2 linked regions of the Bombyx mori genome follow. The protein of the gene in region 1 binds, or shares a complex with, the protein of each later gene. Links are inferred from orthologs where the notes say so. Each region holds a gene or a part of one and is shown on either strand. Other genes may lie near its edges.

Region 1 (3,826 bases):
GTAAACAATGAAGACAAACCAAACATTCAGCAAACTAAAAAACAGTGCCGCCACGGTTTCAGTAATCGTTGCTTTAGTCAGCATCCTGATTGAACTCGTCGATTACGACGAAGAGTTCGACAAACCCATAGACACCGCCTACTGAGTTTCTCGCCGCATCTTCTCAGTGGGTTGCGCTTCCGATCTGGTGGTAAATTCTGCGAAGCACTACTCTTGCTAGGGCTAGGGCTAGTGTTAGCAAATTCTCTCAGATTGAGCCCGTGAGCTCACCTACCCGTCTGAGCGTAGCTGGAATACCCATTTGGCTACCAGCGGATAGGTAGGGACAAAAAATATCGTTGCTCAGAGACATTAACAATGTCAACGTCAGCAGCACAGCCAAGTCGCAAATTTACGCGAATACAAGTATTTATGTTCATCGCAACACAAATTAAACAGTATAAGAAGTACAACTAGAATTGCAAGAACACGCAGTATTCATTGTATAAAGTCTATGATAATTTTAAGCTACCAAAAAGCCGTCGAGCTTTCGATTAGAAAAGAACACGTCTCTCTATTTTTAAGCTCTAGGAACATTTAACTTAAGTGCACAAGTAGGTCCGCGGTACGCGAGGAATGGCGACGTCTGGTGAAGCGCACCACCACCCGAAATGATGACCACGACCACTCTGCCAAGAGTGCATACGACTGAGGAGAACATTTAATATCGAGAGCCATGCGCTCGTCTGACGGTGCATACTATTCTGACAATGCAGTGCCAAACACAACAAATATTCTGTAAACATGTTCATTTTCATTTCTATCGTCGAAGCTATAGTATTGGCCTACAACCCTCAGACACAGCCCACTGAGTTTCTCGCCGGATCTTCTTAGTGGGTCGCGTTTCCGATCTGGTGGTAGATTGTGCGAAGCACGGCTCTTGCTAGGGTTCGTGTTAGCAACGTCGTCAGGCTTGAGCCCCGTGAGCTCAGCTACTAGTTAAGGTTACGCTGATATAGCCTCTCAAGGCTCTCAGCTTAGGTAGGAAAAAAAAGAAAAAAAATTGGCCTACCACGTTTATTTTAAGCACTGTATCTGGTTTTAGGGTTCTTTCGATGAGCCATCTCATTATGAAGATCCCCCAAAGGTGGAGACCCCGATCGCTAATACAACTCATCCGACTTTTAACAAAATAGTAAGTTACCATCTTCTAATATGCAAAATTTTCCCGGTATTCCAAAAATAAATAATAAATTTGGAATTTAAAACCTACCGAGTATTATAAAATCAGCAAATCACTCAAGCTCCAAAAACAATTCATCAATCTGTCTTGTCATTTAAGAGGACTTCAGTGCCAAACACACGTAAAGAAAACCTACAGAATGGTATTGTTTTAAATAATAATTCAAATAAAATTAAAGTTAATTTTTATTAATTAAAATTTAAATTCTACTGAAAATAAAGGATGTGTTCCTTAGGATGAAACTGTTACATTGATGATGTCACTGATTATTTCCAGACTGCAGTAACGTCAAGGTCTGCACACCAGCTGTCCACGAGCTCATCAGTTTCCATCGGAAGCGACTCCTCCAATTTGTGAGTCTGTTTTCTACATTCAGCTGAATGGCATTGTGCAGTAACCCAAATCATTCTAACAGCTGGCACTCCCACTTTTTCTATTTCTGCTGCAAAAAAGCTATGTATTATGGGTCCAAGAGTCGTTACACAATACAATTCAGATTTTGACCTCGTGTCTCCAAATGAGTGGCGGTATTCAAGTGTCTATGGGATTCGGTGATCACTCAATACCAGTGCGCTTAGTGCGAGTTTTTTAACGTTCTCGATAGCGTAAAAGTTAACTCATATTTGTATGGAGTTGGAACGTTTGTCTACGCTAGGTGCGCTGTTCCAACTGCATACAAATTTGAGTTAACTTTTACGCTATCGAGAACATTAAAAAGCTCGCACTAAGCACAAAAGGTTCACATTAATCTGAAGTTAATTGTCACTGAAAAATGAGACCGAAGTATTTGCTGCATTATCGTTTTACTACAAAAATATTGTTAACATTTTGCCAGTGTCCAATGAGGTTTATTTTATTCTACGCGTTCAGGAAATCAACACCGATGAGTGGTCAATCGGTGGAGATATGGCCTGACCAGTTGCACGGACAACAGACTTCGCCCAGAGCCAAGATCCTCGGAAAACAGAAGAGAATCGTCGGTAAGTCTGTTGATTAAATAGTTTTTTGACGTTCATTGTAATTTTTTACTGGTGGTAGGACCTCTTATGATTCTGCACCGGTAGGTACCACTACTCTGCCTATTTCTGCCGTGAAGTAGTAATGCGTTTCGGTTTGAAGGGCTTGGCAGCCGTTGTAACTATACTGAGACCTTAGAACTTATATCTCAATGTGGGTAGCGCATTTACGTTGGAGATGTCTATGGGCTCCAGTAACCACTTGTCCACCCATCTAAGGAATAAATAAAAAAAACTGAAAATCGTCCATGTGGCAATATCATCTGTAAAGCTGTCTTTTACAACGGCCCTAGTTGAGCACTGAACCAACCATGCTATTCTTTGGCTCAAATTGCATACTTATAACATCATACAAATAGCCAATCAGAGACTATCTTCAATAAACTTTTCGATCGCCTGATTAGCTTAATGTTCAATGGTTGGCAACTTCACTACAGAATTCAGGTTCGAATTTCAGTTAGAGTATTTTTGTTTATTTCTTATAGTAGAAGAGGCATCTGTCGTGGGACCAATGGTGTCGAAACATATAACTTTTTAATATACCAATATATATGTAGATTATTGTTAGATGCTAATTTTGGAAGCCTTTTATTTAATAGTGGGAAGTAGTACATCTCCGGAGACGGGAGGGTCATCTGGTGAGGGACAGTTCTCTCAGTGGCCCTCACAGCCGAGAGACCCACAAGTACATCACATAAAAAGTCCAGGTATCTAAATAAATTTTTACTGTCAATTACGACTTACTTATTACGATATTTTGATCTGACGGTTTAAGTATTATGTCTAAAAATGGGAGTCATACAGACTTCATCACTTGAACTGAAAGATGGTTAGCTACAGAATTATTTTCTGTTAAGCTTAACAACTTTTTAACAACATTTACCACCAGTAGTTTACTGGTGGTAGGACCTCTTGTGAGTTCGCGCGGGTAGGTACCATCACCCTGCCTATTTCTGCCGTGAAGCAATAATGCGTTTCGGTTTGAACGGTGGGGCAGCCGTTGTAACTATACTGAGATCTTAGAACTTATATCTCAAGGTGGGTGGCGCATTTACGTCGTAGATGTCTATGGGCTCCAGTAACCACTTAACACCAGGTGGGCTGCGACCTCGTCCATTCAGCTAAAGCAATTAAAAAAAAATTTTTTTTTTTGAGCTTAACAATATGCTTATTTTAGCTAACAAACAAGTGATGTATTTTCGTCAGTACGGTGCTGTGCGTACACGTCGCCGGAGTCCCCGCTGTCCCGCATGGAGCTGGCCTGGAGCCCCGCGCCGGCGCCTTCACACACGCACGCGCCTGCCCCCTTCCGCATACCGCCCACCGAGAGGTACCTTCACACCCTCACTTTATTTTATTTTTTATTTTTTGATGATTGAAGGATTGTGGTGCTGGGGACGAATGCTCCGAATTCCGTGGACGGCCAAGAGGACAAATAAATCTATCCTGGATCAGCTTCGCATCTGAGTCAGGCTCTCAACAATCTGCTACCAGACGATCCTCAGCTACATCGGTCATATTACCCGCCGACAGTCAGATAACTTGGACAAGGTGATTGTGACGGGCAAAGTAGAAGGAAAGAGACTTC
Region 2 (4,439 bases), on another chromosome or scaffold:
AGATTCTTTAGCCACTACTACCTAGCTTACCTAAGATTTTTGAAACTTATGTTTAAATGGCTGCAACTATTATGTATATAATTTTTTTTGAATCTTCAATAAAGCAGCCATATTCCAACCTTGTCCCATACTGACCTTTTGCTACCAGTACCAGTAACCAGTAGGTGTATCACAACAGTACTCTACTATACCGTGTATAGAACTAAGCCGGCTTAGTGACTATGTCAACCACATCCATCTATTATACCCATTTGACATTTTATAATCATGATAAAAATAGAAAATTAAACTTTACCTTGGGTGGGTGTTGTTCCTAACACAATGATGTGTGAGCTCTCCAAAAAATTGAACACCAAGCAAACTATACAGTGACATAAAAAACAAGAAGAATAGTGTAACATTGTAGATTTGTTGACTTGATCTCCTGTAATTTATAAAAGTAATACACTCAGTATAATTTAATATCATCAAAAATACAATATTTAGTGGTAGGAGCAACAAACTTACTTGAATATCTGGTTTATTCTAGATTTTGGCATTGAAAACTTCAAAAATACTCTTAAAAACCGTATCATAATTAATGGCCTAGGTGCTCTTAGTATGCTTAAATAGCTGTATCTAGGTACAATTCCTGTTAACTCAAACATTTGTAGCAATACAGATACCCAAAGAAAAAATACCATAGAAGCATCAAATTGGCACCAATGATCTTTTAGGTATGCGACATCCCCCTGCAACAAATAATTCCTTTTTTATTTGAATTTTCGAACAATTATCTAAAAACAGCAGCAAATGTAAAGTATACTAAATGTTGTTTAATAACAAATACATTAAAAAAAATTACTTAAACAACTTAAATTAGTAATGTGGTAAAATGTAAACATGCACTGGTAGTTATCACTATTCTATTTAGGCTTTAACGATGTGATTTATATGGGATCCAATTACAAGTTTTACCAAAGGTGGTATCAATAAATTGAAGTGTATTAAATAAACTAAAATTGTGAAAATATTGACTGTAACTCATTACCTTAAGAATTCCTCTTATGTGCATTTTAGCAATCATTTCAGCAGTAAAAAGTAGAGTTACGCAGCAATCAACTACAAAAGTTATAGTTTGAAGATAAGGATACTTCTCAAATGATTTTGGTGTGTTTAAAGATACAGACATCAAACTCAAAAGGGCACATAGTCTCAAAATTCTTCTAACCCATAGCTGTAAAATAAAGTTTGTTGCTGTTAAATTTTAATTTAAAATGGCAAACAAAATTCATGGGAGTAGTAAAATTTTAAAAAATAATTAGACAATTTAATTAAAATAGTCAAAGAAAATTTGAAATCAGTTGAAGTACATTTTATATTGTAAAGTTGTTTTCTTCTTCTTCTCTTCAAAAATTTTTTTAAAGTGAAGTGAAATCTGTGTAACCTAGTTTTGACAACTCTTAATAATTATATCGAGAGATGAAAGACTATTTGGTTTAAGTGACATTTTACTTAATGCACGACATTTATCTTGATAATTAAAGGTCTGTTTTATTTGGTATTAGCATCAACTGTTCAATGTTTTTAATTGAACTTCAATAAAGTTCACTCCATTCAATTAGCTAAAAAAAAATTGTTGTGATATATTGTCTAAATTTTTAACTTTAAATAAAATTAATAAATTAATTATTTTTAACTTTAAATTTAAGTGCAAAAATGTCACTTACACCAAATACCTTTCACTCCTTTATATGAAAAAGAATGATTTCTTAATAATAATTCAACGTAACATGTAGTATTTGTAGTAACGTGTTTAAAGTACAATAAAAAAAGCTTGATTAATGGAAAATGTACCAACTTTCATCACAATCAGATAAATCTTTTATGAATATAAATAGAAAACAGGCATTCATCTAAACATTTTTTTTATATAGATGATAGATAGTAAAGAATTTTATGATGCCCAAAATGCCATGAAACTGATTATTAATAGCCTGAAAGTTTATTTTATGTTTGGAATTTAATTGATATAACTATATAGGGGTCCTGGTCTAGAGAGCAATATTAAGCAAAAGGCCAAAATGTGATTTGTAGTGAATGAGTCTACAAATGAGGACATAGGTAATGAGATACTGCTCCACTATGTTCACCTGAACACCCAACAAATGCCAACAATATATAATTTTTGTCTTGAACTTTCATTTATGATTTAGTGAGTAGATTGGCTGCGTCCTTGGAATTGCCTTGGCAAATTTACGTCGATTGTAGCTGTATTTTTTTTTATTGCCTTTGTAGGCAGACGAGCATACGGCCCACCTGATGGTAAGTGGTCACCGTCGCTCATGGACGTCAACAATGCCAGGAGCAGAGCCAAGCCACTGCCTACCATAAAATGTATGTCATGAGCCGCAGACTATGAAGTCTTTTAAAGCAAACAAGCAACAAAAAACTACCTTATTAACCCATTCGATATCAGCACTTTCATTTAGCGATTCCTCTGGTCCGTAATCAGCCAGCACAGGCTCTCCTTTCAAGCTCTGCTTCCTTCCCAACATTTTTATGCGTTTGAAGAGAATTTTTGAAAATTATTCTTAAGCGGTGCGGATGGAATTTGTAATTTCTGTATTTATTTGGAACCATTTCCACTTTGAATATTTCATTTTCATAAAATAAAAGCAGCTTGAAAAATCTGTTTTAAACACAAAAAACTATTATGAATAATATTTGTTAACACTATTAACGTCTAGGGACAATACAGTATTTAAATATTAACATGAAATTCAACAATTATTTTAACTTCCTTGATTTTCGTTCAAAACACTGTTCAAAATGATTTGAATCTGAGATGTTTTACATTGCTGGTCAATAATTAATGTTCTTGCAATTTTAACTAGCAAAGGGAACATAGCTCATACGTTTGTTTTAAAATTAAATTTAACGAAAACGAAATGAAATAGAAAAGAGTATCCCATTAATCGTGAATAATTCACTGAGAATTAAGTTTTTCTTTGCAAAAAAAAACCGTAAAGTCATGTTTTGCGATTTTTATCTTTTCTTCCACGCTTGTGAATTTAAGCAATTCCTAAACTATTCAGTATTGCTTGTTGAATGGCGAACTTGAATGTTGTGAAATTAATTAATTTAATTTGTAAGCTTGTTTTTTTTTATTGACCTTGCAAGCAAATGACATTACGGCCCACCTGATGATGAGTGGTTAGCGTCGCTCATAGACCTGAGCAAAACCAGAGGCAGAGCCAAGCCACTGCCTATCGTATTTCTTTATACTTAAGCAACCTTGCTTTTAATAAAGCACAATGACTGCGAATGGTGACTTACTGATTCTTGGCGATGTTGATTTTTTTTATTGCCTAAATGGGTGGACGAGTTCATAGCCCGCCTGGTGTTAGGTGGCTACCGGAGCCCATCGACATCTACAGCCTAGATGTTGCCACCTACCTTGAGATATGAGTTCTAGGTATAGATGCAAAGTCCCACCATTCAAACCAAAAGGTACTGCTGCTTTACGGTTAAAATAGGCAGGGTGGTGGTACCTACTCGTGCGGACTCACAAGCCTACCAACAGTAATTAGTACCCAAATTATAATTTTGCGGATTTGATTTTTGTTACGCGATGCTGTTCCTTCATCGCGGAAGTCAATCGTGAACATTTGTTAAGTACGTATTTCATTAGAAAAATTGGTACCCGCCTGCGGGATTCGAACACCGGTGCATCGCTACATACGAATGCACCGGATGTCTTATTCTTTACCATATCATCATTTACCATCATTTCGAATTAAAATTACGTTTGTATTTACCAACTCTTGCAACCATTTATGTGTTAGTTTTACGACTCGTAAATAATAACGTATATTTCGACATTCACGTATATTTTGGTTCAGTTGCACACTGATACATTGTGTGACGGTTTTTGTTTGCATTTTATAGTCACAATAAGAAGCATCGAGCATACAATACGTACTTGACAAAGTACATATTTCATTAGAAAAATTAGTACTCGCTTGCGGGATTCGAGCATCATTACATCGCTACTTCGATCAACAATAGTAACTAGATTTCGGGTCGGTGCATAAAATCCGTCTCGTCAAATAACAGCTCACTTGAAATGTGAGCTGTTATTTTGTTTAGTTCACTTCAAACACAGCCAATGTCAACCCGTCTCACAATGCCGCAGTGTGTATTCAAAAGTTGCAAAAGTAATGCCCGAAAAAGCAATTTAACGGCTGGAGTATCTTACTTTCGGTAAGTACATGAAGTATAAACTATATTTTAAACTTTAAACTAATAAATAATATTAAATTTTGAACAAAATTACCGATTTTTAAACACCGCTACAAATGTTGGCCAAGGCTCGGCCAACTCATGGACAAACTTTTGCTTAACAGAACAGTAAATGCATGGAGTAGATTTGTGTTGTAATAATTTTTTAAAATTTG

The links.
Region 2: the proteins of protein unc-79 homolog (region 1) and sodium leak channel NALCN are in contact, whole or in part, in a cryo-EM structure (PDB 7SX3), measured with the Homo sapiens proteins. The link is inferred for Bombyx mori from reciprocal best matches to the Homo sapiens genes UNC79 and NALCN. Residues at the interface, in NP_001333147.1 of Homo sapiens: Cys861, Gln862, Ile865, Glu968, Pro969, Asp970, Phe1020, Gln1022, Pro2088, Asp2089, Ala2092, Pro2093, Leu2095, Leu2096, Met2099, Leu2139, Pro2141, Asn2142, Gly2143, Ile2144, Gln2147, Leu2148, Ser2151; in NP_001337678.1 of Homo sapiens: Gln349, Met350, Phe351, His352, Glu353, Gly358, Trp359, Gln360, Leu361, Phe712, Ser713, Ile714, Arg717.

What each region holds. Positions count from the first base shown.
Region 1 is NC_085113.1:1,084,254-1,088,079, reverse strand, and holds part of protein unc-79 homolog, read left to right. Parts: intron 1-1,084; coding exon 1,085-1,174; intron 1,175-1,498; coding exon 1,499-1,575; intron 1,576-2,092; coding exon 2,093-2,202; intron 2,203-2,837; coding exon 2,838-2,945; intron 2,946-3,444; coding exon 3,445-3,568; intron 3,569-3,826. UniProt on the Homo sapiens protein: Auxiliary subunit of the NALCN sodium channel complex, a voltage-gated ion channel responsible for the resting Na(+) permeability that controls neuronal excitability.
Region 2 is NC_085110.1:9,112,667-9,117,105, forward strand, and holds the start of sodium leak channel NALCN, read right to left. Parts: upstream 2,801-4,439; 5' UTR 2,756-2,800; exon of another isoform or gene 2,672-2,755; 5' UTR 2,538-2,671; coding exon 2,436-2,537; intron 1,217-2,435; coding exon 1,031-1,216; intron 732-1,030; coding exon 508-731; intron 425-507; coding exon 296-424; intron 1-295. UniProt on the Homo sapiens protein: Voltage-gated ion channel responsible for the resting Na(+) permeability that controls neuronal excitability. NALCN channel functions as a multi-protein complex, which consists at least of NALCN, NALF1, UNC79 and UNC80.